Rhinolophus ferrumequinum: one gene and its partners. The protein of the gene in region 1 purifies or fractionates together with the protein of each later gene. This does not show direct contact. Links are inferred from orthologs where the notes say so. Each region holds a gene or a part of one and is shown on either strand. Other genes may lie near its edges.

The links.
Region 2: the proteins of DIS3L (region 1) and EXOSC7 purify together in Homo sapiens (affinity purification with mass spectrometry; 3 studies listed by BioGRID and IntAct, counting the BioPlex papers as one, with this or other methods). This does not show direct contact. The link is inferred for Rhinolophus ferrumequinum from reciprocal best matches to the Homo sapiens genes DIS3L and EXOSC7.
Region 3: the proteins of DIS3L (region 1) and HBS1L purify together in Homo sapiens (affinity purification with mass spectrometry; 5 studies listed by BioGRID and IntAct, with this or other methods). This does not show direct contact. The link is inferred for Rhinolophus ferrumequinum from reciprocal best matches to the Homo sapiens genes DIS3L and HBS1L.
Region 4: the proteins of DIS3L (region 1) and GIGYF2 purify together in Homo sapiens (affinity purification with mass spectrometry; 3 studies listed by BioGRID and IntAct, with this or other methods). This does not show direct contact. The link is inferred for Rhinolophus ferrumequinum from reciprocal best matches to the Homo sapiens genes DIS3L and GIGYF2.

What each region holds. Positions count from the first base shown.
Region 1 is NC_046289.1:44,648,092-44,655,854, reverse strand, and holds the start of DIS3L (DIS3-like exonuclease 1), read left to right. Parts: upstream 1-4,759; 5' UTR 4,760-4,861; coding exon 4,862-5,000; exon of another isoform or gene 5,001-6,326; intron 6,327-6,352; coding exon 6,353-6,506; intron 6,507-7,763. UniProt on the Homo sapiens protein: Catalytic component of the RNA exosome complex which has 3'->5' exoribonuclease activity and participates in a multitude of cellular RNA processing and degradation events.
Region 2 is NC_046300.1:9,960,865-9,968,430, forward strand, and holds the start of EXOSC7 (exosome complex component RRP42), read right to left. Parts: upstream 3,006-7,566; 5' UTR 2,978-3,005; coding exon 2,921-2,977; intron 1-2,920. UniProt on the Homo sapiens protein: Non-catalytic component of the RNA exosome complex which has 3'->5' exoribonuclease activity and participates in a multitude of cellular RNA processing and degradation events.
Region 3 is NC_046286.1:81,623,760-81,631,510, forward strand, and holds the start of HBS1L (HBS1-like protein), read right to left. Parts: upstream 3,006-7,751; 5' UTR 2,822-3,005; coding exon 2,779-2,821; intron 1-2,778. UniProt on the Homo sapiens protein: GTPase component of the Pelota-HBS1L complex, a complex that recognizes stalled ribosomes and triggers the No-Go Decay (NGD) pathway.
Region 4 is NC_046291.1:6,113,532-6,121,295, forward strand, and holds the start of GIGYF2 (GRB10-interacting GYF protein 2), read right to left. Parts: upstream 3,008-7,764; 5' UTR 2,917-3,007; intron 1-2,916. UniProt on the Homo sapiens protein: Key component of the 4EHP-GYF2 complex, a multiprotein complex that acts as a repressor of translation initiation. In the 4EHP-GYF2 complex, acts as a factor that bridges EIF4E2 to ZFP36/TTP, linking translation repression with mRNA decay.

The DNA of each region.
Region 1 (7,763 bases):
ACCATGACTTATATTCCACTAGTAGTAATAATCCTACAAGATGAATGAAAATTTAATTTCATCAAATAACATCAATACAGAAAAAATTAAATGATAAATAGTAATCTTTCTATTTTTGAATTATAAATGGCTATTCATATAACTGAATTGTCTACTAGTCTTATTCTTAAGGATTTTCTAGTCTTATTCTTAAGACTTAAAGGATTTTCTTTTTCTTTTTTGTATTAATCAATGAAGCTTAGTTTCTAAGTAATTTTGGAGCATCTGAACCTTTGAGTTCTTTGAATTAATGTATTGTTTAATACAAAGGTTTTTTGTTTGCTTGTTTGTTTTGTCTCAAATAATTGGATGCATTTTAAAGGTAGTATGTAAAAGGCCACATTTCAGCTACGCAGATACTAGCACAGAAGGGAAGCAGACTTACCCCCCAACCAAAAAAAAAAGAAAAGAAAAGAAAAACAATGAACAGCGCCTCTTAGTGGTAAAAGGGAAAAATTATTGGTAAATTACAATAAAAATCTGGCGGAGATACAAACTGGTTAAGTACAAAATAATTTTCAGAAAGAGTTAAGCAGAACACTTTAGAGTAATCATTGCAAAGTGGATTATGGGGATTCACAGGGTGTTTAGAAAGCCAAAAGGGAGCTATTGTATCTGCTGGGAAAAGTGAAAATCAAGGATTAACAGCCTTTAACATATAGGAAATTAAATTATCCCTAATACAAGTAGCAAAATAATCTCAGCAGCCCTTTGTCTTCCAGTGACTCTTCCACTGAGATGGAGCACAACTGAAAGTAAGCAGATTCTTCAGATACATAGGATCATTTTATCCATTTACATGACCCTTTAGAATCACTGACTCGTTAACACAGCCAGCAACATCTGTCAAATTAGCTGTATTTTATAGTGGAAATCACTGAGGCTCAGGAAATTTAAAAAGTAGTAGCAGTCAATATTTGAATGGCATTGTTTCCAGATCCCTAACCCTAAAATAACTGGGTTCATCCATGGTCCATTGAATGGACTGTACCCCCATTCTGTAACCATCTACGAGCTGAAAGGTGCAATAGCTGAGTCATTACTGCCTGGGCTCTGCAGTCAAACCGCCTGCGGTCCAAATCTGGCTTTGCCATACATTCAGTGCGTGGCCTGTGTCTCAATCCTTCTGTACTTGTTTTCTCACCTGTGAAATGTAGTTGGTAACAGTATCACAGTCAAGGCATTGTTTTGAGGATAAGAAAACACAAGAAAAGTGCTTAGGGCAATGACTAGCACCTGTAAATCTTGACAAACATTAGCTGTAATTAGCTGATACTGCATAGATTGACAAGCCCTTTGAAAAGCTGCAAATTTGGGGTTATATTTAATGACATCTAAGATGCATCCAGCTTCAACAATGGTAAATTACTTGGGAGTAGATTTCGGATGCAAGGTGAACTTCAACGTTTTTACTCGGCATACTTCAGTATTGTTGGAATTTGTTGCAACAAGCATGTTGTGCTATTGTAATTTTAAATAGATAAATCAAAAGACAGACTATTTCAAAGCCTACTTCAGTAATCCACTCTAGCCCTTGGAGCTCATCTTCCAGAATTCCTTTTATACATTTAACCTTCTTGTCCTCTTAGCCCTTTGTAAAGATGCCCTACCCTCTCTAGGCTAACCTTTTGATGAGACTATTTGATTGTAATCCAGTGGTTGCTGATGTCTGCATTCACAGAGCACATCTGCAAAAGGCATGCAAATGCTACAGACTCCTGCAATGTAAGCACGCTGGTGCTCAGCCTTAAGAGGACCGCAGTCATGCACCAGGGAAACCGAGCCACCATTGAGATTTCCATCAGCAAGAGAGTGCTGAAAGCTGTCGCAGCATTCTGCTATCTGGGAACCAGGCTGTCCATCTGCACTTGACAAGAAAAGGGAAACATGAAAATTGAAGCAAGCCGCCAAGCATCCTTCCCAGTGTGGCACTGCTGTGGCACCGTAGCACAAACCAAACCAGAGTACCTAAGACCACTGCTGCTCTCCCACTTCCTAAAGGACTGTACAATTTAGAACTGCTGTAGAATCCTTGAGCAGCTTCATTTCTTCAAGACATACAATATCTAGTGAGGGATCTTTTTGAACAAATGAGTAACTCTTCAGCCTTTAATCTCCTTTGTAAAGTGGATGTGTATTAGCTAGGATAATTCTAAGCTGCTATAACAAAAGTTGCTATCTCCCTTACAATAATCCTGTGACGCTCCTGGGTGAGGGAGGCAGGGCTCTGCACAGTTCTTCTGGGACCCATGTTGATGGTGGCGGAAAAGGGTCTGCTGTCTTCAGCACTGGCTTTCAAGATCCCCTGGGCTTTTGGCATCTAGCTGGTGGAGGAAAGAGGTTTTCATGGGTCAGTCCTGGAAATGGTGTCATTACATTCTGTGGCCACTATATGCATGAGAAATGTGGTTCATCTGTGTACCCAGAGAAGAGGACATGGATTTGGTGAACAAAGAGCCAGCCTCTGCCACAAAAACCCACATACTTACCTTGAAGGATTGCAATACGGCTTAAAGATGATAGGGTGATGTATGCTTGGCTTACTGGCTATTGGGGAGGCGGGTGAGGATGTAAAAAGAGGTGAGCAGTACAATGCCCAAGAGACTGGATAGTGGGCTGAGCTGGAGTAATCCCAGACACGAGGGTTAAGGTGATGGCAGAGAAGACTTAAGGGGTGTGAGTTGGAGGCATTCAAGTAGTCACTAATGCTGCCACTCTGCCTTTGAGTGTATGGTCATGTGATTAGTTCCCACCAATAGGTAGAGGTGACATGCATCACTTTATTCCGGTCTGAGCTATTAATTGCTGGGGTAAGGCTGTCTAAAGGGCTTTTTTCCCTCTGCCAAAGAATAGCAAACAGTATTCCAGAGAGGACTGTCTCCATCAGCCTTAGTCCTGGACTACAATACAGAGTGGAGCCTCTAGGCACCCACATATCTTGTTTCAAGTCACTGGGGTTTTTGAAGTAGTATATTACTGCAGCATAACCTAGTTTATTCTGACTGATTTAGAAATCTTTTTTGCAGGCAAGATGCATCAGATGGTCAGTGAACAAACAAACCAACAAAAAGGCATTCTTGTCCATTTTAGACCATCAGTTCCAAGAACTAAGGGATCATGCTTTTAAGAACATAAATTGTACACCATTGTCTCAATGCAAGCAAAAGAAGTGCTTGATGAGCCTTGGATTATTTTAAATACTGATAAAAATCAACTTTCAATACAGCGCCAGACACACTCTCCTCCTTAAAAGATCATTAGTCTGAATCTAGAGAAAGTTTAAAGCTACAAAATGCCAAAGAGAGATGTTAAGGATATAAAATCAGAAGTAAAAGAAAAATGAAAATGGGAGAGCTTTGGAGGGAACTGTGGGCAGCTGTCAGAAGCATTTTTATGTGGGGGACAAATGTGGCTACTTGCCTGTCCTCTGGAATCTCTAGAACTGACTTCCTGAATCAGAAAGGGCCTCCTGCAATGCTGGTTGCTTTATGGGGCCTCCCAGGGCTCTGGTCTGTGAACCAGCACTGTAATGTTTTCCTAACTTGTGCAATTCCATCTCAGATCTCACTCCCATTATCCAACACTGCAGATAACTTGACATAAAAATACAAGTAAGGAACCACGACTCTTTTTAATATGTCCCCCTAGAGTAAAAGTAAGTGATCCGACACAACACCCTAGTTCTGCTCACTTCGGCATAATAGGAAGCTCCCATGTTCCAGCCAGATGGTTGAGCTGCCTGAACTAGAGCTCAACAAGCTGACTATAAACTCCTCAGCTACAAGAGTTATATTTTATTCATCGATGAATAGCACGGTAATTAGTTAAGAGCCTACTTCGGATTCAGCCAGATTCTGGCTTGAATATTGATTTCCCCACTTAATAGTTGGGTAACTTTGGCCACTTAACCTCCCTAATCCTGTTTCATCGCCTGTAAAATGGGGATAATAATGCCCAACTCCACTGACTTGTGGAAATTAAATGTGACACTCGTATATAAAGCTTCTGGTGCGGCTCAAAAGTCTTTGTTGAGAGCTGGGAAGAACACTGGCCTCTTTCCAGCCAAGGGTGTGTGATCTCAGAGGAGACTGTGTGTGAGCCTCCACCAAATTTCAAGGAAAATTCCTTTGCCAAAAGCTGCAGTGTTATGAAGTTAGGGTTAAATAGACAGTGTTTACCTTAAGGGAATGAATTGGTTTTCATTCTCTCTGCATTGTTTGAATTTTTATATGGATTAAAAATACATGAAATTAAAAATAAATACAACTTTCCGAAGAGAAAAAATGTTGGGCTGGAAGGGTTGCGGGCTTATTTGCCCAATCGTTTAGCTCTTTCAGGGACAGTAAGAGCAACGAACAGAGAACACTAATTACCATATTAATATGGCTGCCCATTCCCATATGGACCGGGGGTAGAAACAAAGTATAATAATTCTCTATAGTTGCGCCAAATCTTTCTTCACAAGACTTTAAACTAGCTTCCATATAGTCTCTTATCTCCGATGAAATCTTTTGCCCCTCGCATCCCTACCCCCAGGCAATTGTGGAGAGGGGAGAAACTGAGGCAGGGTGGGGGAAGCCGGCCAGGGCCGGGCAGGACCACCCCTCCCGCGGGCCACCTCCAGCCCTCAACCCCGGGCACTTTCCGGCGGCTGCCGGGAGAGCCGCGAGCCGCGCGAGGACCAGGCCCGCCCGGCCGAGGGGGCGGGCCCGAAGCCGCGGCCTCGCCTCCCTCCCGCGCCGCGCGGCGCTCACTGCTTTCCCGCCGCCGCTCCGGACGGCCTCGCGGGCCCCGGAGCCCTGCCTGGCCGAGCGCCGCCACCATGCTGCAGAAGCGGGAGAAGGTGCTGCTTCTGAAGACCTTCCAGGGCCGGACGCTGCGCATCGTGCGAGAGCATTACCTGCGGCCCAGCGTGCCCTGCAACAGTCCGCTCTGCTCGCAGCCCACCGTCTGCCTCAACGGTCAGGGCCCGGGCGGGAGCGAGGGCGGCCGGGGCGGGAACGAGAGCAGGCCAGGCCGGGCGAGAACAAGGAGACCCGAGGCCGGTCGCGAGGGGAGCCAGGCCGGCAGGAGCGAGGGCGGCGGGCCGGGGGTCGTGTGCCCTTTGAGGCCGCGGAGGCACCGAGTCCGAGGCCCCGGGCCTCTCACCGCCCCCTGGCGTCACCTTCGTTACGCTGCGGGTTGGGAGCGAGAGGCGGCGGCCCCAGAGCCGCAGAGATGGCGGTGGTTGGCTGCTTCTGGAACTCTCCGTGCGGAACTCCCCGCCGGCTGCGCCCCATGAAATGGCAGGGCCCAGAGACAGGCGCCCCCCACAGCCCAGAGGCCGGGTGATTTGGGCTTATGCGAGGGGCCAGGGCGCAGGAAACTGCCCCTTCCTGTCGTGTGTGGTGAAATGGGGAGGACCTGAGCTGTTGGCCCTTCGGTGGGAGGCGGAAGGCAACCCAGTGGCATGAGCGCGGGAGACCTGCTGCTGCTGCTGCTCATTTTACATTTCTTTGCTCCCCACAAATTATCTGAGTTGCCAGCACCGATGCATCTGGCATTTATCCAAAGGATTTGTGAATTATGTGGGTCCTCATTGTACAGGAAGGTCATGGGAAAGCTGGATTGGGGACTGCTGTGCGCTAGACCTTACCCCACTTGGTTTCTAGGCTGCAAGGGTGGTCCATTGAACAAAGATTATTGGTTCTCTTCCCTCTGGGGGGAGATAAGCGTGCTGGGCCTTTTCAGCAAATATGTGGAATCCTCAGCTTGGTTGAGGGTTGATGGTTAAGGTGAACCTTTCAGTTACTGCTTGGCCGACCCACTCCATGACATGACAGGCTGCATGGAAATCTGAACAGTGCCCTTGTTTGCATTGAACAACTTTTCTGGTCAATTCTGGAGACTGCTCAGCATGTTCATAAACTTGAGACAGTACCGACTTGAAATTGCTGGGCAGAAACAAGTGGTTAACATGCATATTTTAAGGGGCCCCATTTGAATGTGCGTGTATGTCAGTAAGTTAACACAGAAATATTCAGGTTGTGCTGAGGATGTGTTGTTTGTTTTTTAAAAAATCAGTCATCCCCTGCTCCACTGGCAGCACCATAAACCACGTTGAGCCTTTATTTATCACAGCTTCAGAAAAATGAAGGTGCTGAATTTACCTGAACTTTGGGCCTCTACCAAGGTAGATTTGTCTTGTCGTTTAAAAACTTCACGGTGCAGTTAAGATTGTAAGTTATTTTGCACAGGGGGGCACCATGACATTGAAATAATAAACCAGGTTTGCAAATGTATCTAATCTTTTGCATTTCGATTTATGCTTCAGATGGGAAACTCTTGTCTAGTGATGTGACTCATTACATGATCCCAGATTGGAAAGTTGTTCAAGATTACTTTGAGATCCTTGAGTTTCCTGAATTGAAGGGAATTATATTCATGCAAACGGCTTGTCAAGCTGTGCAGCATCAAAGAGGCCGGAGGTATCCGTTTTGTATTATTTATTAATGTAGATATCCCCCGCCCTTTAGAAACGCTCCTTTGTAGGGGGAGGGGAGGAATTTATTCTTTAATCATAAAGTATTTTTTAAACTAACTTAGTATTCTCTTTGCTAGTAGGAATGCAGTAACATTATTTTATATTTCTGCTGCAACATCTGGCCAAAAGATCTGACTGCAGATCAATAAACTGCAGTGTCCCCAGTATGTGGGTATTGAAGATTCTTGGCTTTCGGTTTGCATTTTACAGCAGAGTTATTGCTTATTTCTTGTTGATATTGCATATTATTTAATCTTCTTATTTATAGATATATTGTTTCAGAAGCTTACTTTTTTTTCCCCTTGGGAAAAAGAGAGTACTTTATTTTTAAATTTTACACTCCTTTATTGTGGATACAAATTGTATTTGTAGTGATTTATTCAATGAAACCAGATATCACTTGTTTTATTTTTAGGTTACAAGTATTACTACCAACCATAGTAATTGTATTTGCTAAACAAAGGATTGTTTTGATTGAAATCAGTATAAAATGCTTACCTTGTACCTTTTAAACAAGTACTCTAAAAATTGGTTTTGTTTCATTTAACATTGGGAAAGATTTATGGTTTGAACTTGAAGACTCATGCCGTATGGAAACAACATACCGTATTAGAATTATGTATCCAAACTCTTACCACCCCAAGTTATTTAAAAAGCAGCAACTATGAGTTTATTTTTTTTTAAATCTTGTAGTTTCTTTAGACCTTGGTAGTAAAAGATGAAGTGTGTTTATTTGTATATGAAAATGATAAGTTGTCCTTATTATATGCCCAGTTCAAAAAAATGTGCATTAACTAGATTGTGCAGGTTTTTCAGATGGAATATTTTTAAATGAGCTTGAAGTTGATTTTGTTCAGACACAAAGATATAGATGTTTATACACATCCAGGTTTAAATGCTGTTCCAGGTGTCGTATTTCATTTCTGCTACTAAAATCAATTTGTTGTTATCATTCAGATCGCTAACATACTGCAGAGCCTTTTCAACTTCTGTTTTCTAAAATATTTTTAATATTAAGGATTGTTTTAAAAACCAATTCCTGGGACATTCAAAAGCAAAGAATTGAAATTTAAATGTCTTTTCTCCTGAACATTTCAAAGTAGTTAACTTGATGAAAAACTATTGGTTTTCCATTGCTTTACCATGTCTCCGAATACACTAAATGTGAAAACAAAAGATGAGGAATTATAAAATAGGCCCA
Region 2 (7,566 bases), on another chromosome or scaffold:
GTTATCCAAGTGATCCACACAAAACACTGTTTTCCAGTTGTCTGTCCCCATCCTCAGGGTGGCTCTGTTACTCACTTGTCCGGTTACTTTTAATTACCTCGTTACTTTTAATTACTTATTTACTTTTTGGATGTGTGGACTTTCACCACGGCTCTAAGAGTCAAAACTTTCAGAAAAGGTGTGCTCAGAGGAATGTCACTCTCCCCCTTATCCCTATTTTCATGTCCCCTCTTCTTCCTCCCCCTTTCCCACCCACACCAGGTAGGTAACCTGGTTCCTCTTTTTCCTTTGCACAAATGAGCAGATACACGAATATTTTTTATATCCCCTTCTTACATAAAGGGCAGCCTACTACAGATATTCTTTTACTCTTTGCTTCTTTTTGGCCCCTTTGGCCTAGAAGTCGTAGCTACTCCCTGTGGTCACTAGACGTTGGGCTCTTCCACATTTCTTCTTGGTTCCCTGAAATGCACCCATGTGGTTATGAAAGTCCCCTGAGTTATCTGAATTGGGTTCCATCTTCTGCCAGAACATAAAATGATTCATCCTCCTGTCCACTAATTGCGCTCTCTCTCTCTCTCTCTCAAGTGGCCTCATCCCTCAGTGGCCATGTTTGGGCCTAACCATTCTGTCCATAGACGAGTCTGGAACTGAACTAGAAGGGCTGCTTTCTTATACAAGGAAACTGTAACCCCAAGAGCTGAGAGATAACCACAGTCTCTCTACCACATGGCCCAAGAAACAGAAAGCCAACTGAAGAGTGAGGAGAATAAAACAAAGGCATAAAAAGCAGCAGAGATGGGCAAGCGAAAGCCTGAAGATCCAACTGCCCATGAATTCCTGGAGAAACACTTATAGCCTTCTCATACGTACTTTTTTTTGGCTTGAGCCAGTTTGTTGGTTAACATAACTAGCAACTGAATCCTCAACACACATGGTGAGGTTAATTTCAACTGCTTCTAACCACCACCAAAATAAGATAAAATATCCCTGAAATAGTAATGGAATCAAAGGCTGAGGGAAAGGGAGCCAGAAGCTAAAACCAAACAGGACCAAAGGTGAAAAGTAAAACACAAAATGATTAGGTCTACAGGGGCAGGAACAGGATTCCAGCTAGACTTACGGCACTCTGCTGGCACTCGGTGACCAACTTAACCACAGTGTAGGTGATTTTAGAACTGAGTCAGTGGAGATCCCATGGCAGGCTCACTCACCTGCATTCTGACCTTGATTCAAATGGTGTAAATTCTGTTTTGCTCCTCCACAAACACGGCAAATTTGTGGCCAATATTAACAATCCTTACGAAGAGTTTTATTTCGTCAGTTAGTCTACATGGTTCTGTGATACACAGAACTGAACATTTACTAATAGTTGTGGCCCTAATGTGTCCATGGTCCTGGTGACTGGTGAGAGAGAGGTTTGATTTAAAAAATGAAAACCCTGTCCAACTCATCGCCCCTTTAAGGCCTACGTTACTGTTTAATGTTACTGAGTACCTACTAAGTGCTGGACACCGGCTAGGCCTTAAGGGTATCATACAGACAGGTCAATAATGACCTTCCAAGATCCATGATGAGGGAGTGGCTGAGCCTCTAAGATCCCTAGGATCAGGCTTCTGGTTACCTCTGTAACCTGATCTTCCACCATTACCCTCAGCACGAGTGGAGTCACCATCCTTTCCTTCTGGAAGGCTCAAGCCTACTTAACTCTTGATCAAGCAATTTCCTTAGCCTCCCCTGACCTGCCAGACGAGGCAGGTTTCTTGTTTTTCGTTTTTTCCCTTCACAGCCCTCAGTATAATTTTATATATAAACACACAAATAAACAGAAGTCATTTCTGTCTGTTCATTCTAGCATGAGAGCTATAGAAGGGCAGGCTACTTCCTACCCCTCGAGTCTAGCTCCGTTGAATGAGTTAAATACTGAGTCCTGAGGATACACAGAGGAAGCACTTGACGTGGATTTAGGAGAGTAATCCCACCTCCGTGGGGAAGGCTCCAGCGCAGTAGTCTCCACTGTGCTTGAGCGCGTTTGGCGTCCACGGACTACAGCACCCCGTTGATACACACACCTTATATGCCACTGCTTTTCCTCATCTTAGGAGTAATAAAGGAATCGAAGACTGATGTAAAAGGAACGCCAGACGAGATGAAAGTAACCATAATAAACCAAAAGTGAAAAGTAAAACACAAAATGCTCAGGTCAATCCAGGCAAGAACAGGATTCTGCCTAGGCTCTGGGGAGACTTTTGGGAGACGTTTCTAACCTGGGCAGGTTACAGACAAGAAGGACGCCCTTGGCTTTCCTCGGTAGCTAATTACCAGGCTCGGGTTCCGTGGTGGTCCAAACCAGGGATTGAAGGCTGAGCACAGAAGAGCTCAGTGTAGTTACAGCTGCCTCTAGGGACCTTAGTTCTCCAGAGACAAAATGGCCAACAGCAAAAATTATGCTGCTGCCTGTGGAGCCACTTTTTAAACACCCTTCCTTTATTTGTAAGGCGATTTATATTCCCAAAGCGCTTCCACCTCGGGTGCCTTCTCTCTCGCTGTGACTCCCAACCACGAGGCGAGGAAAGGCGGCCAGAAGCCACCGCGACAGTGAAGCGGCTCGCGAAGGCTGAAGGGAGGGCCCTGGGGCCGCGCTCCTTCGCTACGAAAAGGCCTCCGGGACCGGGCGCACCGCTTCCTACCCGGGTTCGGAACCGGAGACCCGGGAGGCTGCGAGCACGCACCCAGCCCTGCACGGACGCTCGCCGCCCGCTCCTAAATCGCCCACGCTGCCGGCCGCAGAGCGGTTTAATCCCAAGGTAAACGCAGACCCGCCGCGGCGCGGCCGCTCCTCCCGGGTGAACGAGGGCCGCCCGCGACCCGCGGGGCCAGGAACACCCGGCGGCCCACGCCGGCGCCGTGCTGGAGCTACCTGGATGCCGTGCACGATGTACACCTTCTCCGCCTCGCTCAGCGTCACGGACGCCATGCTGCCGAGCCGGCCCTGACGTCATCAGCCCGCGTCGCCCCCGCGCGGGCCGCGCCTCCCGCTCCTGTGCGTCATCAGCCTGCGCGGCGGCCGCTCCTGCAGCCGCCGCTGCTGCCACTGCCGGGAGCTCCATGGGCTTCTCCTGCGCGCTGCCGCGTGTCTGGCAGAGTCCAGGGAGCCGCGGGGCCTCGTGCCGGGGAGCCATCGCTGCAGCCCGAAGCCGGGGCCCGGGTCGAGGACTGCAGGGGGAGGCCGCGGCGGGAGCCACGTTAGGGGCCTGGGACTGGGGAACTGCCTCCGACTTCACGGTCAGTTGGGAGGCGGAACTGGAGTTGGTTGGAAAAGCTGGGGTGAGGTGAGAGGCGCGGGGCCGGGGCCGAAGCCGGAGGACTCGTAGTGGGAGAGGCGCGCGACGCAGATTGCTCAGAGCTGGAGTGGAAGTAGCAGGTCGTGTGCGTGTGTGTGAGAGAGAGACACCGGAGTGAGGGGAAGCGGACTTGGTGATTGTCTCCCCTACAGACCGGGGGCTGTCTCGGTCTCCCTACCCCCACCGCCCGGTCCTGCATTTTCCTGGTCCCTAGGATGGTTGAAAAGAAGAGGCGATGAAGCCCTTTTTAGCTTCTCGGTGGAAAGGTTCCGGGCCAGGAATGAATGCCCACTAGTCCCGAGGCGTCCTCAGTCCACCCCACGGATTCCCCCTCCCCCCATTTCTCTCTTTCTCTCTCTCTCACCGAACGCTGACCCAGGACCTTTCAGGATCCCCTTGCCCCGGGTGGTCGCCGGAGTATGATCCCAAAGAGAGTAGGAGGGAGAGTCCTGGTAACCGGCGCTGGCGAGGGGCGCAGTGCCCAGGCGTCCCCAGCGCTTCTCAGTGGTGGCTGGAAGCCTTGACTCGATGGGGTGATTTCTGGGAGCTGTGGACAGCTGCTGGGGGCGGGAGGGGACGGGGAGGCGGGGCGGAAGCCCAGGTGCTGGCCGAGTAGGAGTCTCGGCCTCCAATGTCCAGAAAGGATACCTGCAAGGTGGACATGGGGTCACTGAAGGAGCCCCAGCAAGGCGGGGCAGACAGGGTATGGCACAGATTTTAACAGAGCCATGTGGATAAACGGAGGAAAGTTAACCGAAAGTGATGGAAGCAAAGAGGGGATCTGATGACTTTTCTAAACGTCCCGTATTTGGGGAACCTCCCTGTTCTCAAAAGTGAAAGTAACCCTTGATGGCTTGGTCATCCAAAGAACGACCGGTGTTTCCCAGATACTGTCTTCAATATAGTTTCCCAAATGACTATTGGGATCTTGCTGTGGGTGGGCTTTGGGCTAGCTTGGAACACTAAGGCCAGTGAAACACGACGTCTGCCCGGAGAAGCTCCCCAGGCAGAAGGGAAGGCTCCAGGGCCACCATAATCACAGAACATGGTGGTTAAGAGCTATGACGGTGGCACCAGTGAGCACAGTGGGACAGGGAGGTGGGCCAGAGGAAGGTGCAGAAAGGAAATACCTGTCCACCTTCTTAAGCACTAAACTGCTAAGCTCCTAAAATAGATGATCACTTCTTAGTAGACTAGACATTAGTTATTTCTTATGTCTCTACGTAGTTCTTTACAGGTGCACCTACAGGGAAGACATATTGCAGGGTTGGACTTTGCCCTCCAGGGAAACGGAAGGGTGAAGCCGGAAGGATTTCCTCCCTAATGAAAACACAGGTGCCCCATCTGTTGTGGCAATAGACGTTTTTCTGTGTGGTTTGACACCTGGATCCCATGTGAGGAACTCTGTGGTAACAGAGGATGCTGATGTTAAAACAGGATTTTGTGGTAGAGATTGCTCAGAAAAGAGAGACCCTGGACATGGAATTTTAGTAGCTGGAATATCTAAGAGGATTAAGGATTTAAAAAGTGGCAGCAAATGGACAGATCAGAAAAGACACAGAAAGGAAAGTCTGAGTTTGGATACCATGGAATCATCTCAATATAAAATCAGTATGTCTTAAAAAATATAAAAGCTCTATCTGAACTGTTCCCCCGACAACTGACTAAAGGTTCCTTGCTGGAGAAGGGTTGGCAGTATTTGCTAAGTAATATTATGAATGATGTCTGACTTAACAGGCTAAGTAGGTGTGAGAGGTATAAATAGTAGAATATTCATTTTACATTCTCTACTAAAACAACGATACCTTCACTGATCGTTCTACTTCAGTGCGGCCAGAACATTTTTATCCCATTTGTTGTGATAATACATTAGACATTTTTAAAACCCATAAATTCAGAGTTCCTTTTTGGTTTATTGAAGCCATTCAAAGAATGTATGTTAGCCAGAAAATCCAAAAGCCAAGGATGGCACGTTATTCTGTTAAACCAGCTTGTTTTTCCATCACTGTCAGATTCTCTAGGGCGCATACTGTTTTGTAGGTCTGTCTATTCTAAACCTCTGCACCCTATTAATTTTATTTAACTCTAACTTACATAGTGCTTATTATGTACCAAGCACTTGACAAAGATTGACTGATTCAGTCCTCACAATAGTTCTACGAGACAGATACTATTATCCCTATTTTACAGATTGGGAAACTGAGGTGCAGAGAAGTTACTTGTCTTGACCAAGGCCACAGGTCACGTAACTGGCAGAGCCAGGATTTGAGACCAGGTAATCTAGCTCCAATCCCTGCACAGCTAATATAGAACGTGGTGCTAATGGGAAATTCCTATGTCTAACCCCTTTGGATAAGGGAAACAGTTAAATACAGGCTGATGGAGCTTAGAGGAGCTGAGGACAGCCCTCAACGGCAGAGAAGGCCGATGGATCTGGTACGGAGATGGCATGGAGACCCAGATTCCAACCACGTGCCTTACACCCACAACAGACACCTAGGAGCTCTTCAAACAATCAGGAAGTACTTGTTTGTGTGCCCGAGAGTCGCTTGTGTTCTCGAGGGCCTGAAGTAATAAGAAACTGAAAACACACACCTGCCTAAAAGGGGTTTAGGATTTATTATAGCCGGGGAGCCCAGGCACTTTGAGCTAGTGCATGAACAAGACAATAAAATATTGCTCGATTGAGACACATGATAATTAGACAAGAGGCCAGCCAATAATAAGGTGCTAATTGTGCATGCCAGGCACCAAGGGCAAGAGGTGAAGAGCTGCTGCGAGCCACTAGCGGGCAACGAGAACCTTACAGAGATGGAGTCCATCTGTCCCACCCAGCCTTGCTTCATTAAAGCAGTAAAAGCCGGTGACAGAAGAGCTTCGATGCCGTGCTGCGTCCGTGGTGCTGAAGTTGCAGAGAGCTCCTAAAAGCCCGAGGAACGAACATTTTATTCCCAATCTTTAAACAGAGGGAGCCAAGTTTTAGGCCTTTTCCTTTGCATTTTCACAATTAGCCTCGCACCTCAGAAAAGCAAAAGTGAGCTGCTGTTTTCCCTACAGATCTGTTTCCTTTAAACACTTTGCATTTGTCCTGCCTGTTTCTTGTCTTAAAGAATTTTCATTATAACCTGTCACAGTCTGGCCAGCAGGGCTGTATCTGTCTTGCTGCTCTACACATTATAACTTGTGATTACAGTGATAGAAAAATTGATATGAATACATGGGTAAAGTTTATTCTCATTTAGAGGAAGGGTCTTCACGTGTGTTTCATTTTGAGTGAGTGGCTGGGTGCTTCCCATGTCTTTCGTTAGGGCATGTGTGAGAAAAGGGGCTCATGTTTCCAAATGAGCAAATCTGGAAATATTTAAAGACACATACACACCCTGAGAGCACAGCCATAGAAAGCAACAGAATCCGAAGTAGAAATAGAGGAGTGATGTATGAATATTGATCTGTTGGGGGGAAAAAATGGTTAATCCCATGTGGACTCTACTTTCTTCCTGTTTTTGCATTTTTTTATTTGCCTTCCTCTTTGGAAGCAGATTTCCAGAGACAAATGGCTGGGTCATTCCTGGCTCTGAAGGTGCTGTGAACCGTGAAGGTGAGAAGACTACAGTTGCATGTCCCACCTAATTCAGTCACTCATCCAGGAAATGCCAGGAAAACACCATCTTTTCAATCTCCTACAAACTGTAACCTTCCTGGTATGTAGAGGCTTGGCGATTGAACTCTGGATTTTCTGGGCTACCGAGAAATGAGTTAGGATCAGTGGGAATGGAATGCCTTTGGGTGGGATCGATTTTTCATCTTAGGAAAATGAGCCTAATGGGATAAGTACAGTCCCGTTGCAGTAAGTTTCAACTTGGTTATGTACAAAGTGAGCATTTCTAAGCCAAGAAATAGTAGCAGGGAATCTAGAAAGGCAGGTTGGTTGGGAAGATAAGGATCTATGGTGGAAAGACTACTGGACATTTATTCCAGTGATCTGGACTTCGCCACACACTGGCTTTGTGACTTTGAGCAAGTCAGTTAACCTCTCTACGCCTCATTTTATCCTCAAATGCATATCTTACCAGGTTGTAAAAGTCAGAATAGATCCTGGATATGCAAATATTTAAACATTGAAAAATGGTCATGTTTAACTTTGGCTTTTAAAAGGCTTCTCTCTTTCACCACTTGGTAACATGTGATGCATTTTGATAGTGCTTTTTCCACTCTGAAAAAA
Region 3 (7,751 bases), on another chromosome or scaffold:
ACAGCAAGCCCCACTGCCATTTTTACTCTCTAGCACACTCCTCCCACCGAATGTCTTCGAAGCACTATATGTGTTTCATTCCCTGAGACTACAAGCTCTTTCAGAGCAAGACTATCTATCTAGCCAACTACCTGGTGCATGTTTGGCACTAAACTAATTCTTGTTTTATTATAAGTTAATGAGTCAATCAATTTAAAACGAAAAACCCACAAAGAACATAAATATATCTCCATATATCATTTATTCATTTGACAAACACCAACACTAGGCCAGGGACTATTAGAAACGTTTGGAGTACAACAGTGAGTGACAGGCACATTGCCGTATCTCTACAACTTAAAATCTAACAGGGAACACAGACAAGAAACGAACACTTACAAAACCATATGACAAGTGTTTCACATGAGAAATACAGGGCTATTTGGGAACATACATGTACAACAAAAATAGAAGTGGTATTCGGGTTGCTAGGGAAAGATCCCAGAAATACAATATTTAACCAATTCCAAAGGAAAGTTAGCTACTTTCTGAGGGTATTCATACAGCAGGAACAACATGTTCAAAGGCTGAGACCAAATGTTTATGGCAAAGAAAAATTAAATAAATGCTACTATTGGATTAAAATGTGTAACATTCAATAAGTTAGATAACACTCCCAAGTTCATAACTTATTAGCAAATAAATGAGGAGCCATTCACAAAAATGTATTTTTAGATATAAAAGACACGAAGAATCTTTACTAGGTCAGTTTTTCAATACTGAAATTGACCCTAAAAGTACCACAATATAAAAAGATAAAGAGAATTCTTTTCTGGGATTTTTGTAAAGTGGTTCTTTACCTCAACAAAATTTTGGGAGAATTCCCTGCATGTAAGCATCGTGCTGGCTACTAGAATAAATATAAAGTATGGACTTTGCCTTCCTGGTACTTTTAAATTAGTAGCTAAGGCAGTCATGTAAAGTGCTATTCAAATCACAAAGAAGAACGAAGTGAGAGTTAAAAGTACCAATAGGTTTTGCAGCACAAACTCTCTCTAATGAAGTTCTATTAGTTTTGAGAATTTTTAATTTATTATTCTAAGAGTACAAGGAAAAGCTTCACTGGGAAGAAAAATAAACTGGACCCTGAAAGTGAGTGGAACTTTTGTAAGCAGGAAAAGGGATGAGTCTCCAATGCTATAGGAATAGCTTAGTTATGACATCATCAATTGTTCCAAAGAAACATAATAACCTAACCGGGGGTTGCCAAGGTGAGAAGATATTTAGCCCTCACTCACTTCCTCAGGCCAAGAACTTCTCTAGGAAGCTTTCCTTCACTTAGAAATCCTACTCAAACTCCTCCAACCCATTCTGAATAAGGTGTTCTCACAGAGCTTATAGGCCACTGTACTTTATGTAGCATCTCATACGGTAAATGGGCTGCTTGTGTACCTTCCCCTTGCAGACTCCCTCAAACATCTTACTACCCATCCCCAAAACTTAGAACAGTATTCTAAGCATTCAATTCATGAAGAATAAGCACTCAATTAATGTTGCTTGAGGAAATTATATTTATTAAAGAAATGAATAAGCAGTAATTAGACCTAGTCATGTCTTTTTTATCATATCTGCAAAACTATCTCCCAAGCTAACATCCCTTCTTAGGTCACCATGGTCCAAATGCAATCCTTACGTCCACTGCAATACTTTAAAACAGACTCCATTCTAAAGTGAACACCAGGAACCTAACATATGCCAGGCTGACTGGATTCCAGTCTCCAAAGGTGTTAGCTACCCTCAACTATGGTTAGAGCATCCGCATGTTCTCCAATAATCTGCTGGGAGTGCCAATAATAACCACCAACGTATTAAACACCCTACATGCTCTGCATTTTACAGAGCAATAGGTCTTCATTCCTCTTCTGCACTGGATCGTATTTGTTTATAATTTTAGTTTGTATGATGCTTGGCGATGCCTATAATTATCCCCTACACAGAGACTAACTCTAACTTCTTTTAAACTCCTGGAGAACATTCATATACAATTTCTTTCTTTTATTACATTTTTTAAAATCAGTTCAGTCATTTTCGAAGCCCTCTTTCTTCTAATACTGCTTTTTTTTTCCATTCCAAAATACATTTACATTGAGATTATCAACCAAGAATTGAATAGACACATAAGATTATCTAATGGACTCTTTGGGCCTTTTTAATATGTATCTTTTCTTCCCCCTTCTAAATTTCCAATTTAACTTGAAACTCATAGAAAATAAATTAAAGTTAGCTCAAGCCACATTCTGCACTAAATATGTATGAACAAACAAAATATTTACCATGTAAATTTCACACAGCTACAGCAAAACAGTTGATTGTAACCATTAAATAAATCCGTATTTTACAAATAAGCGGCGTTTCATGGGCACTTTGAATGGGAGGTGGCGGGAAACAGAGGTAAAAGTAGGCAAGTGTGTATTTCTCCACGGAGGAAATAATGAAGAAGGAGAGGAGACAATGATTACGTGTATAAATACCAGCGGATCACAGCCTCGCCAAATGTCCTTCCCATATGACACCGTAAAGCACCAACCCCGCCCTATGTAACAATCCCAGAGGTCATGACATAAAAACAGCACAATTCTCTGGCACTCAAATGTCCTATTAGTTTTTCCAACTAAGTCTCCTCGGAATTCCAGCCTGGCACCACTGTCGAGGAACTCACAAATCGAAGTGGATGCCAATAAGCTGGGATCCCGGCTGGAACAGAGAAAAATGACAGTCCGGCATACGCATGTCACTTACCTTCATCATAGTTATAGCCTCGAACATTCCGATGCCGGGCCATGGCGGCGAAGAAGGCATTCGCCACAGTCCCTTACAAAACACCCGCTCAGATACTGATAAGGCGCCAACTGCGGCCTGGACAACACCTATACGCCATCTTGGTTTCCGGCAGTACTCCGCGCTGAGCGCCTGCGCACACGCAACGCCTTGTCTGTGCACTGAGCTACGGCAACCTCTCAGGGTCAATCGAATCCCTAGGAACGCATGCGCACTCGTACCTATGGGCCGGGGATTGCGTTTTAGCGTGCCCTCACCTGCTGGCAGGTTGACTGACGGGAGTTCCAAAGAGGCGGAACTCCACTGCTTCCAATTTGTTGATTTGGACCAAATGTTAGGAGCTGGTATCCTTGACCTACGCCTGCGTTCCAAAATATTTTCCAAATTTGGTGTCTGATAATCTAGTGAAAAAGCTAATTGTGTGCTGAATAAGAGCCAAGGCCTTGTCTTATCCAACTTTCATCTTTGCGGCCTACTTAGGTCCGTAGTAAGCATTAACAAACTTGTGTACATTTGCTTTAAGAATTAGTCCAAGCTTTGGAGAGGAAAAACTATTCTTTTTAAATATATAGTTTTAACCATATGGTTAAACTGAGCATCTACTACAATAGGTCACCATGCTTTCGTGTAATTCATGGTTTCATGTATATGGGTCCTGCATAGATACCTCTAGTAAACAACTATCTGCCCTTGGCGATATAAATTATTATTAACATCATAAAAAAGGATTCATTGAGCATTCGTTTAATACATAATGGTGTGTAACATGCTGAGTATTAAAGCTTTTTAGTCATAGCACATCATGCCACTTATGTGCTAATGATAATTGTTGTTGATGAATAAATCTATAAGCTACTGTTACATGTCCTTATTTCTTAGAAAACAAAGTGAAAACAACCTATGTAACAAACTATGTAAAAAAACAACCTCATACTGAACAAACTACACTTCAGTTTTAGCTTGTGTATTTGAAATGGTGATACTTTACTTAAGAGTAAATATCAAATTCTAGAAATGAATGAAAAGCTTACTCAGCTTTTTATTATCCACAATAGAAATAATAATACAAATTCAATTCATATTTGTAAGTGACTTGAAATATAGTTTATACGTGCACCTGAATGCATCTAACAAATGTTTGTTCTTAACTATCATTGCTGCTTAATGTAGCTCCAAGACAAACTTACACACAAAAATAGATAGTTGCTAATTTTATATGGCTTAAATGTTTCCTTTTACACTTCACGACAATTTTTATGCTGCAATCTGTTTGTCAGTAATTTAGTAATAGTATCTAATTCGTAAAGCTGTGAATAATTATCTATGTAAGAGGATTTCACACAAATATTAGTAGGTGCTTTAAAATTTTAGATATTGTTAAAACACCAATGGCAACTTCCAGCTCACTGTAATTGTCAGTTACAAGCTTCAGTATAACTCACTGAGGTATAAAATAGATGAGTTACAAACTGACCACATAAACAGAACTACAGGAGCAATGAAGAAGAAAACATTACTTCTGCCTGAGAGCTAATATGTAATTTGCTTCTGAGTCATCAATAATGCACTCCCTTAAAATTCTAAATACTTGAGAGTCTTGATTATGACTCAAACAATAAGGCCTCAGTGGCAAAGCATTCACTGATTTCCATAGAAAGTTTTAAGGATTTTATTCTCCCAGAGCTCTTTAGATGGGATTATAAGTTTTGTGTTGTGGTTGGATGAAAAGTACCATGACTTAGAATTACACAAACCTGGATTTCAGTACCAGTTCTGCCACTTCCTGTATGTTAACTTCTTTGGACTCAATTTCTTCATCTGTAAAATGGATACAAGAAGTTATGTCTTCTCTTTTGTGAAAAGTAAATGAAGTGATGGTTGTAAATACAGTAACTGTTACAAAATAGGTACTGTAAGGGAGGAAAAATTGTCTACCTACTTTAGGTCTCTGACTGGGTCTAAGAATTAAATTGACATAAGGCAGGTTAACAGGACAAAAAACATACAAGTTTAAATATTTACTGATATATGAGAACTTTCACAAGAGAATGAAGACCTGAAGAAATGACCAGAGCAGAATGCTCTTGTACCTTTTAGACAAAGAAATAAATGTGAAGAATTGACAAAACAATGGGAAGTATTGTAAGGAAGTAACTAGGAGATATATGGTGTGTGGGGGGGGTGGTGTGCGAAACTAGTGGAAGATAATTGTTATTTCAGTAAGTTTGTACAGATCCATTTCAACATCAAGTTCCAGTCTCTGATGAGAAGGATGTTCTTTCCTTCTAGTAGAGGGAGGGCACCTTTCTCATGGGAAATTTGTGATCTGCTTTAGATAGAAAAGGGTAGGTAAGATAGCCCTTCTCATATCTGCTGTAACTCAGGTTCCTTTGGCTCAAAATAATCAATATGTTATCTTGGGGTGACATGCTCTGAAATCTTTCAGTGCTCAATAAATGCTAGTTCTCTACCACATTTATTAGAAAGCTTTACCTGTGTTTCTCCAGAACCCTAATGTCTGGAACTTTGAATGTTTGCTGGATGAATTACTGAATTAAAAAATACTGTCTTTAGATATGAGCTATTTAACAAATGCCATAAGTGACTATACAAATAATTATGTCTATTTTTGTAAAAATTATAAATGAAAGTAGCATAACTACATTACTAAAAAAATTTTAACACATTTATTGAGGAATCATTGACAAACAATAAACTGCACATACTTAAATCATACAATTTGAAATGTTTTGACATGTGCATTCACTAGTGAAACCATCAACCCAATCATGATAATGAACATATCCAGACTCCCAAGATTCCTCAAGTACCTTTATAATCTCTCCTTCTGCCTCTCACTGTCTCGTCATCCTGGCCCCTGCCAACAACTGATCTCCTTTCTGTCACTATAGATTAGTTTGTATTTTCTAAAATTTTATATAGAGGAAATAATATAATATGTATCTTTTTAACTGGCTTCATTCACTCAGCTAATATTTTTGATATTTATTCATGTAGGTGCTTGAATCAATAGTTCAGTCCTTTTTATTGCAGAGGGGAATTCTATTGTATAGATACACCACAATTTGGTCTTCCATTCACCTATGGATAGATGTTGGCTAGACCAAATAAGGCTGCTATAATTATTCATGTACAACTTTTTGTATGGAAATAAGCTTTGATTTCTCATAGGTAAATACCTAGGAGCAGAATGGCTGAATGAAATGATAGGTTATGTTCAGCTTTTTAAGAAACTGTCAAACAGTTTTCCCAAGTGGTAGGAACATTTGGTGTTCCCACCATCAGTGTAGTTACATTTTCTCCACATACTCACCATCCCATGGTATGGTCTAAAGATATTGTGTTTATTTGACATTTCTATATCCCCTTTGGTGAAGTCTCTGAATCTGTTTGTCACTTTTTAATGAGGTATTTGTTTCCTTATTTTTGACATTTTTATATCCTAGACACAATTGCTTCATCAGAAATATAATTTGGAAATATTTTTCCCAGTTTATAACAGGTCTTTTCATTTTTTAATAGTGTCCTTCAAGTTTTCAGTTTTGATGAAGTCCAATTTATCAATTTCTTGTAATGGATTGTGCCATTGATTTTGTATCTAAGAAATCTTTGCCTAACCCAAGGTCACAAAAATTTTCTTCTATTTTTTTAAAATAAGTTTTACAGTGTTGAGCTCTAAATTTAGAGTTTTATTATCCCTTTTCAGTTGATTTTTGTATATGGTGCAAGGTTTAAGTCAAAGTTTATTTTTACATATGTATATTCAAGTGTTCCGGCACCGTTGTTGAAAAAAAGTCCTTTCTCCACTGAATTGCATCTTTATCTTTATCAAAAATTAGTTGTCCGTATTTATATGGTCTGTTTCTGGACTCTCCATTCTGTTTCACTGATCTACTGATTTACTGAACTAGCTTGACACCAGTACCATGCTGTCATTATTGTAGCTTCATAAATCGTGAAATGAGGTAGTGCCAATCCTCCAATTTTGTTCTTTTTCAAATTCTTTTAGCTATTTTAGGTCCTTATAATTTCCATGTAAATATTAAAATGAAGTTATTAATTACTACAATTATTCCTGCTGGAAGTTTGTTATTTTATTGAATCTGTAGATCATTTGGGGGGAAATTAACATTTTAACATTGCTACAAACATGCAATGTTTCAGCACATGCACATTATATGTCTCTCCATTTATATATTTTCTTTAATTCCTATCAATAATGTTTTCTAGTTTTCAGTGACTGGTTTTGCACTGATGATTTAATTCTAATTATCTCATATTTTTTTATTCTATTGTAAATAATATTTTTTAATTTTAAGATAAAATATACAATTAAACTATTAAAATTAATAAGTTAATTAGTGCCATAAATACACAGAAAACTGTACTTGTATATAACAGGAGCAAACAGTTGGAAAATAAAAATTAAAAATAAGGTACCTATGTTAGCATATAAAATGTTACCAAATATCTAGGATAAATATCATAAAAGATATGTTAGGCCTAAACTGAAATTAGAAAACATTGCTGAGCAAAATAAAAAAATTCACATTAAATAGAGACATATGCCATGTTTATGGATTGGAAGAGTCACTATTATTACATTAAATGAGAGAGACGTCTATTCCTCCCAATTTAATCTGTATCCAATGTTATCCTAATCAAATCCTAGCAGTTTTTTGGTGGAAATTGACAGGTTATGTAATTTAAACAGAGCAGCAAAGATCCTAGAATAGCTAAGATAATATCAAAACAGAATCAAGTTGGAGAACTTACGTTATCATTAAGATTTATTTTGATGCAATAGTAAGTTAAACAATCTGATCCTGATACAAAGGATAGAGAAATATAACATTGAAATACTATGGAGAGTTCAAAAACAGATCCACACATGTGATCATCCAATTTACAAC
Region 4 (7,764 bases), on another chromosome or scaffold:
GCTTTGCAGGCAACCATATGACAAATTATTTTTCATATATGCAACTCACAAGTAAAAGCATTTCAAAAGCAAAATATTAAATTCCTACGGTAAATTAACATGAAAGAGGACATTTATGAAAGCTCAATAATAAGAATATGGAGATAAGCTGGAAGGAAATCAGAAAAAAATGTTCTTTCAATGAGAAAGTCTACTGAGTATCAAATTAATTGGAGAACTAGTCTGAAAGGTAAAAGTGGAGGAATGAAAAACTCAGCACAAAAAGTTCTACGCATGTACCGTTTCCCCCAAAATTAGACCAAGCCGGACAGTCAGCTGTGTCTTTTGGAGCAAAAATTCATATAAGACCCAGTATCATATTATATTATACCCAGTCTTATATTACAGTAAAATAAGACAGGATCTTATATGAATTTTTGCTCCAAAAGACACATTAGAGCTGAATGTCCAACTAAGTCTTACTTTCGGGGAAACGGTAAAATGCTATAAAACATATACATAGTAGTGGAAAAGTCCCTGAAGAATTTAAAACGAGGCTGGACAGCACAGAAATAATTTAAAGGAATTCTTTACTAACCACATTAAGGACAACACGAGTTAACACATTGATTTCATTTTTCTTCCAGGTTATATCCCTTAATGACCTGAGTCTAAACTTCAAAGGAAAATCATTTGCCTGCATTTTCAAATATTCTGTGGTATCTCAAAGATCCCCTTCTTAGACAGCAATTCTTTTTTTAAGATCCCTTTAGGCAGTTGATCATCAATCTCATGTGAAAACTATTTCACGACAACTTCCTGATATATGTTCTATGAGCATCTTGAATTTTTCCAAATTGGGGGGACAGGGGGGGTCATGTGGAGGGAGGGGGTGGGGCACACTGGCCCAAATTTCCAGAATCTGATGTCTGATTCCCCTAAGAGTCACAGAGATGTGGGAAAAGATTCCAGGACACTGAATAAACCCCTCTCATCTTAGTACCAATGAACTGGGTACACATTTCCGACCACCCTACCTGTCACTTGTGCCTCTCTGGCTAGAGCCACACCAGATCTGCTCCCACTTCAGTTCCTGCCTCAGGGTTTTTGCCCTCACTTCTGTAGCTTAGAGCATTCCTCCTCCACAGAACTACCGGAATAGTTCCTTTACCTGTATCAGGGCTTTTCTCAAATATTAGCTTTTCCATGAGACCTTCCCAGGACACTCTCCTTAAAATTAACCCCTCCCCCAACTCCCTAGTATCCCATCTCCCTGTCTCATGTTTTTTCACATCACTTACCACTAACTATATATTTTTACCTAAGTATTTATTTGTCTAGAAATGAGCTCCATGGAGACAGGAATTTTTGGTCTGTTTTGCTCCCAGCAACCAACAGTGCAGCCGGGTCTCAATGTTTGTCAAATAAATGAATGATGGCACATGGTCCCTTCTCCCTCTTCAGTCTCAAAAATTCTAAAATGTTTCGTCAAGTATAGAAAAGGTGTGAAGCCCTTTCTTTTCTAGTGAATCACTACCATCACCAGTGTATTCCTCAGTGTTAAATATCAAAGGAAGCATTGTGTGACATTTTTCCAGATACGTGCCACTTAAAATTTTTTTTCTAGTGTCCTCAACTGATGTCAACATCTGATGTAACAGAAAAGTACACATTCCAGTTTGAGCACTCTGAAAGCTGCTACACTAATGAGTAAAACACATAAAAACATCAATGAATGACAGAATGCATTTATGTTCTAACCAAAATGGACAAACTCTGTAAGGTCAGAGCTGTCAATTATTAGAATGATGAGAGTTAACGTACAGATAGGATGACAAGAAAAAAATGTTTTTAATCTAGGAGTCTGAAAAAGAAACACTACATGAGTCAAGATTCTCTTCCCTGCACCAACACTGGGCACCAAAACTGCTTATAACCCAAGGTATACAACATGGGTAAGAAGTTGTTCACAAGTTCTGGCCCCTTCCTCAATTTCTTGCAACTTAAATTGGAATACTTACCTTTCTCACAGAGACAAGAGGTGTGCTTAAGTGCTTTGACTTTCAGGGAAAGGAAGCATTAAAAAAAAACACACAAAACACGGTGCTAGATAAATGCAACACAATATTATTGCTTCCCAATCACGGTCACACAATCTGCTCCACTCTTATGCCCTTCTCTGGTCGCCTGATTTATGCTTCAGCCACAAAACTGAAGTATTCAGAATGCTGACAATTAAGGCTAATGCCCATTTTAACCCGAGGTGAACATTCGGGTACCAAAGATGCCACAGGCTCTACTTTCCCAACCTCTGTCCCAGGTTCCGAGCATGGCTCCACCTTGCCTCAGGCCTGGTCCAGACCCCGTCCTCTCGCCACGGAAGGAGTCTTCCCAGCGCCAACGCTCGGTGAGGAAGAGAAGGGTGCACCTCCCAGAGGCCAGGTGTGGGGAGGCGGGCCGGCCAGCGCAGCTGTCCGGCCGCAGCAGCTGTTACCCCGGGCAGCCCGCGGCTAGGAGGGTGGCTGGCCCCGAGGGGCAGGTAGCGGAAGGCGAGCCCTCTGGCCCTCAGCGAGCCGGCCTGACACTGCCCCCCTCACCAACATCTTCCCTTTCTCGGCTCCCCACCGCGATGCCAACGGGCCCCGGCGGAGGGGGCACCTCGGCTCCGAGGACGGGATGCGCCCGGGCCCGGCGTGCCCCCCGCCGGGGAGGAGGCTCTCTCCGGCCCCGCACCTGACCTGTCCCCTCGCCTGACGCCCGAGCCGGCCGCGGCCGCTGCCGGGGCGGCCTGTGGGTGTCCATGCGCCTGGGCAAGGTCCGCCGGAGCGGCGGGGACGCGAGCGCGGGCGGCAGGCCCCGGCGGCCCGAGGCGTGGGGCGGCGGAGCCAGGGCGCGGAGCAGAGCCCGGCAGGGGAGCGAGACGGAGTCGCTGGTTACCTGCGGTCCGGGACAGGGAGTCTCTCAGAACCCAAGTCAGTCCTCAGCCTCAACAACACAAGATGGCCGACACGTCGCCACGCACGTCACGTGACAGCGCGCTCGCTCCGCCACGCCCCCTGCTCCGCCCTCGCCTCGCCTCGCCTCGCCTCCCTCCCGGCTCATCCAACCTCCCACGACATCCTTCCTTTCCGCTGCCTCCCGCCCTTCTTCCCCGACACTCCCCTGCCGGAGCCCCGGATGTCGAACTGGAGGAGGCGGGGCAGCGCCTGGACGCAGTCGCCTGCGGGTTGCTGGGCCGGGGCTTCCTACCTGCCCTTGGGTTGAGTAGAGTTGGTGTCCAGGTTTGGACCCGTGCCTGGCACCCTGTGACTCACCGGCCTGTGCGCCCAATCCAGAACCTGTTTGCAGTTCAAAAAGTTCTGCATCACTTAAGAGTCGATATTCCAAACTAGAACTTTTCCACAGATTTTCATCCATCATTTTCCTGCCCGCTTGCCATCATAGAGAAAATGGGGAAGCGAGAAGCGCCAAAATTCAAAGCAGTTTCTCTACATATTAACGGTTCTGGTAAAACTGGGAATTCATTCTAGAGTCTTGGAATGTGACAGCTGGAAAGGACTTTGGAGCTCTGACCCCCTCTTACTGCATCCAGGGTTAGGACCCTTTTGCTTTAAAATCTCCCATTTGGCGGTTGCCAGCTAAAATACAGAATGCCCAGCGATATTGGAAACAAATTTACACTAAAGAAGTATTTATTGTTTTTCTGAAATTCATATTTAATTTGGCGTCCTGTATTTTTGTCACATCTGGCAACTCTGCCCTTCTCAGGTCATCCAATTCTTGTGCCTACAGCCTCTTCCCTTTTTACAGGATCCTTCCCATCAGCTTTTACAAATACTAAAAAGGTTCTTCTGTTTTAAAAGTTAATGTTAAAAACTCCAATTCCTCCTCTAAACACTTCCCTACCTCTCTGTTCCCTTTCAAAGCCAAACTGCACAAAAAAAAAAAAAAAGTTGTTTGTAAGCACTTTTCCAATTTCCACACCCGGCAAGCAATCATCAACCATTCCATTGTGGTCGGTATCCTGACCCATCCACCTACCGCTTTGTCTAAGGACAACTCCACCTACAGGTTGATAATGAGTTTTCCAGTCCTCATCCCGACTTAGTGCTTTATCTGTCTTTTTTTGTTGTTGTTTTTGGTTTTTTGTTGTTTTTTTAAAGATTTTTTTTATTGGGGAAGGGGAACAGGACTTTATTGGGGAACAGTGTGTACTTCCAGGACTTTTTTTTTCCAAGTCAAGTTGTTGTCCTTTCAGTCTTAGTTGCAGGGGGCGCAGCCCACCATCCCTTGGGGGAGTCCAACCGGCAACCTTGTGGTTGACAGCCCGGGCTCCAACCAGCTGGGTCATCCGGGAGCTCAGCTGCAGCTCAGCTCAAAGTGCCATGTTTAATCTTAGTTGTGGGGGGCAGACCCCACTATCCCTTGCCGGAGTCGAACCGGCAGCCTTGTGGTTGAGAGCCCGCGCTCCAACCAACTGAGCCATCTGGCCACCCGGGAGCTAAGTGGCAGCTCATTGACTTCATTCTAGTTGCGGAGGGCACAGCTCGCTGGCCCATGTGGGAATCGAACAGGCAGGCCCGTTGCCCAGAGCTCGCGCCCTAACCAACTGAGCCACCATCCACATGAGTTCTGCAACTTTTGACAAACATATACAGGTGTGTGTAACAACCAATAAAAACAAGGTACAGAATAGTCCCATTACCCACAAAAGTTCCCCCAATGATCCTTTGTAGTCAGCAATAACCCCCACTCCCAGCCTCTGAAACCACTGTTCTGTTTTCTGTCCTTTAGTTTTACCTTCTGATGTCATATAAACAAAACCATAGAGTATGGTTTTGAGACTGGCTTATTTCACTTAGCAATGCATTTGAGAGTCAGTCATACTCTTGCATATTTATTGCTAAGTAGTATTTCCTGGGATGTATGCACTATATTTGTTTATCCATTCCCCAGTTGAGGAACATTTGGGTTGTTTCCAGTTTAGGAAGATTATTAATAAAGCTGCTAAAAATATTCACATGCAGGTATTTGTGTGAAGATTGGTTTTTATTTCACTCCGGTAAATACCTAGGAATGGGATTGCTGTTTATGTGGTGCTTGTTTAAGTTTATCAGAAACTGCCAAACTATTTTTCAGAGTGCTTCAGCCATATTTTTAGCCCTAAACTATAAGCTCCCAGAGAGAAGAACTGAATCTAAGGGATGATGGTGATGATGGTGATGGTGATGGTGATGGTGATTAAAGGTGATAACATCCCATGCTTTGAACCATTACACATGCTGCATTATTTGACTTTGCATCCTCAGCAGCTGGCATTGTCTTGGCACAAAGTACACATTCAATAAATACCGATAGAATCAAATAAATCCTTGATCATCTACTCCTCAGGAAGGGTGTTTTCCTCTTTCCTTTTAATTCGCTGTCTCTCTAATGTTTCATTAAACAGTGGTTTTTAAAATTATAACAGTAGCTTGATGCCTGCCCTAGTCAGAGATGATAATAAAGTTTCAGCTCAGTGTCATTGATAGAAACACAGATGTTGAAAATGAGACATTATCAGGGAGAGAGGGGAGCAAGGAGTTTAACCTGAAATGAGTTTAATTTGTAATAAACACAGGTGATCAACCATGAGAGGTGGTATTTTTCTAAAGATGGCAGCAACAATATCTTCCATCCAACATACTCCTCTAGAACCTTGGCATTACCCTGTCTAGAGGTAGAGTCTACTTGCCCTCCCCTCTGGCCCTTATAACCGATAGAACGCGGTGGCAGTAAACGAGGTGACTTTCAATGCTAGATCATAAAAGTGATAGAGCTTCCTCGTTTGCTCTTCTGAAGCAAGAGCTGCCATATAGTAAATCTAAATAGCCTGATTCTGCCATTCTGTGAGGAAGCCCAGACCACAGGGAGAGACCCATGTAGTTACCCCTGTCAACAGTCCTAACTGAAGTCCCAGCATCAACAACCAGACACGTGAGTGGAAAAGACCACCAGATGATTCCAGCCCCTGCTGTCAGTCACGCCCAGGTGTCCAAGCCCACGACAGCATGAAGCAGGGACAAGCATCCTCACTGTGCCTTGTGTGAATTCCTGATCCACCAAATCTATGAGCATAATAAAACAGTTGTTTCAAGCCACTCCGTTTTGGGGTAGTTTGTTACACAGCAATAGTGACTGCAACATCACCATTATGGATCTTACTGTGTCCTTCTAATAAGATATGCTGGCCTCCTCACCTCAGGATATACCCAAGAATGTAACCTTATTTGGAGAGAGGGTCTTTAAGAGGTAATCAAGCTAACATGAGGTCATTAGGGTAGGTTGTAATTCAGTATGATTGGTGTCCTTATAAAAAAGGGGAATTTGGACCCAGAGCGAAAACTCCATGTGAAGAGGAAGGCAGAGAATCAGGTGACACTTCTGCACCCCAAGGAAAGCCAAAGATGGCCAGCAAACTATAGAGGCTAAGACAGAGCCTGGAACAGATTCTCCCTCCCACGCCTCCAAAGGAATCAACCCTGCCCACGCCTTGATCTCTGGCTTCTATTCTCCAGAACTGTGAGGCAATAAATTTCAGTTGGGAATACTGGGAATACAGAAGCCCTAGCAAATTACTACAATCATCTAAAGGTCTGTAGAGGCCATTTGAAATGAAGGAGATTAGAGGGGTTCAGAGCTACAGATCTGAGAGTCATAGAGAGGAGATCTTTGAAATCATGGGGAATCACCCATCACCAGCAACTCCTGAGAAGAAAAGTATGATGAAGGAAGGCTCTTGGGAGGAAAGGTGTAGCTGGTGGACAGAAAAGTTACAGGTAGGACCAGATTAGAAGCAGGAGCCAGTCTCAGAACAGAAGGAGGAAAATATTGATTGGCGATGTCAAATCTGCAGCGTTATCAAGGAGTCTGGGACTAGGGAGAAGGCCATGGAATTAATGACTGGAAGTGTCCATGGCACAGGGAGAACAGAGGGTTAGGGAAAAATGAGTGCTGAGGAAGAAAGGGTGCAAAAATTTGAAAGTGAATGAAAAAGCAGGACAGATTTGTTAGTGGAGAAACCAGCGCCACTCAGATTTGTACCCTAACTAAGAGAGAGGACTGATGTGTCCTGAGCACTAAATATATGCCAGGCATGGAATCTGCCAGGTAGGCAATCATCATCCCCATTGGACAGGTGAGGAAACTGAGGCTTAGTGAGGCTAAGTTAACTAGCCTAGTATCTGACTCCAAATCCCATTACATCATGGGATGTAGAACTGATTTGTTTGTTCTCAGGGCAGAGGCAGAACTGATTCGTTTGTTTTCCCTATTGCTCAATCAAAGGAGGGCCTCTCGGAGTGGACTCATCACTTTTCCGGAGAGAATGAGGTCCCCACAATCTCTGCCGTCCTCACTTGCAGAGCTGTCCCCTCAGGCTAGGCTCCCATCTGAGACAGGGTGCTTAGAAAGTCACTCAGTCAGTGGAAGTGGTCTTCCCTTGCCTGTCTCTGTCTGCTCCAACAAACCTGGGATGTCCTTGTGAAACAAACATGCAAGGGATCCCTGCCACATGCGGGACAGTGTGCTAGTCCTATAGCAGTGGGTTAGGCAGAGTTCATGCCCTTGAAAGAGTTCATAGTCCAAAAGAGGAGGAAGGGAAGTAAAAAGAAGGATGCTACATAATGCCGTAAGGAGTACAGTAGAGAAAAACTCAGGGCAAAATGGGAACCCAGAGAAAGGGCATCTCTAGTCTGGGAGGATCAAGAAAGCTTCCTGAAGATAATCACTGAGCTGAGTCATAAA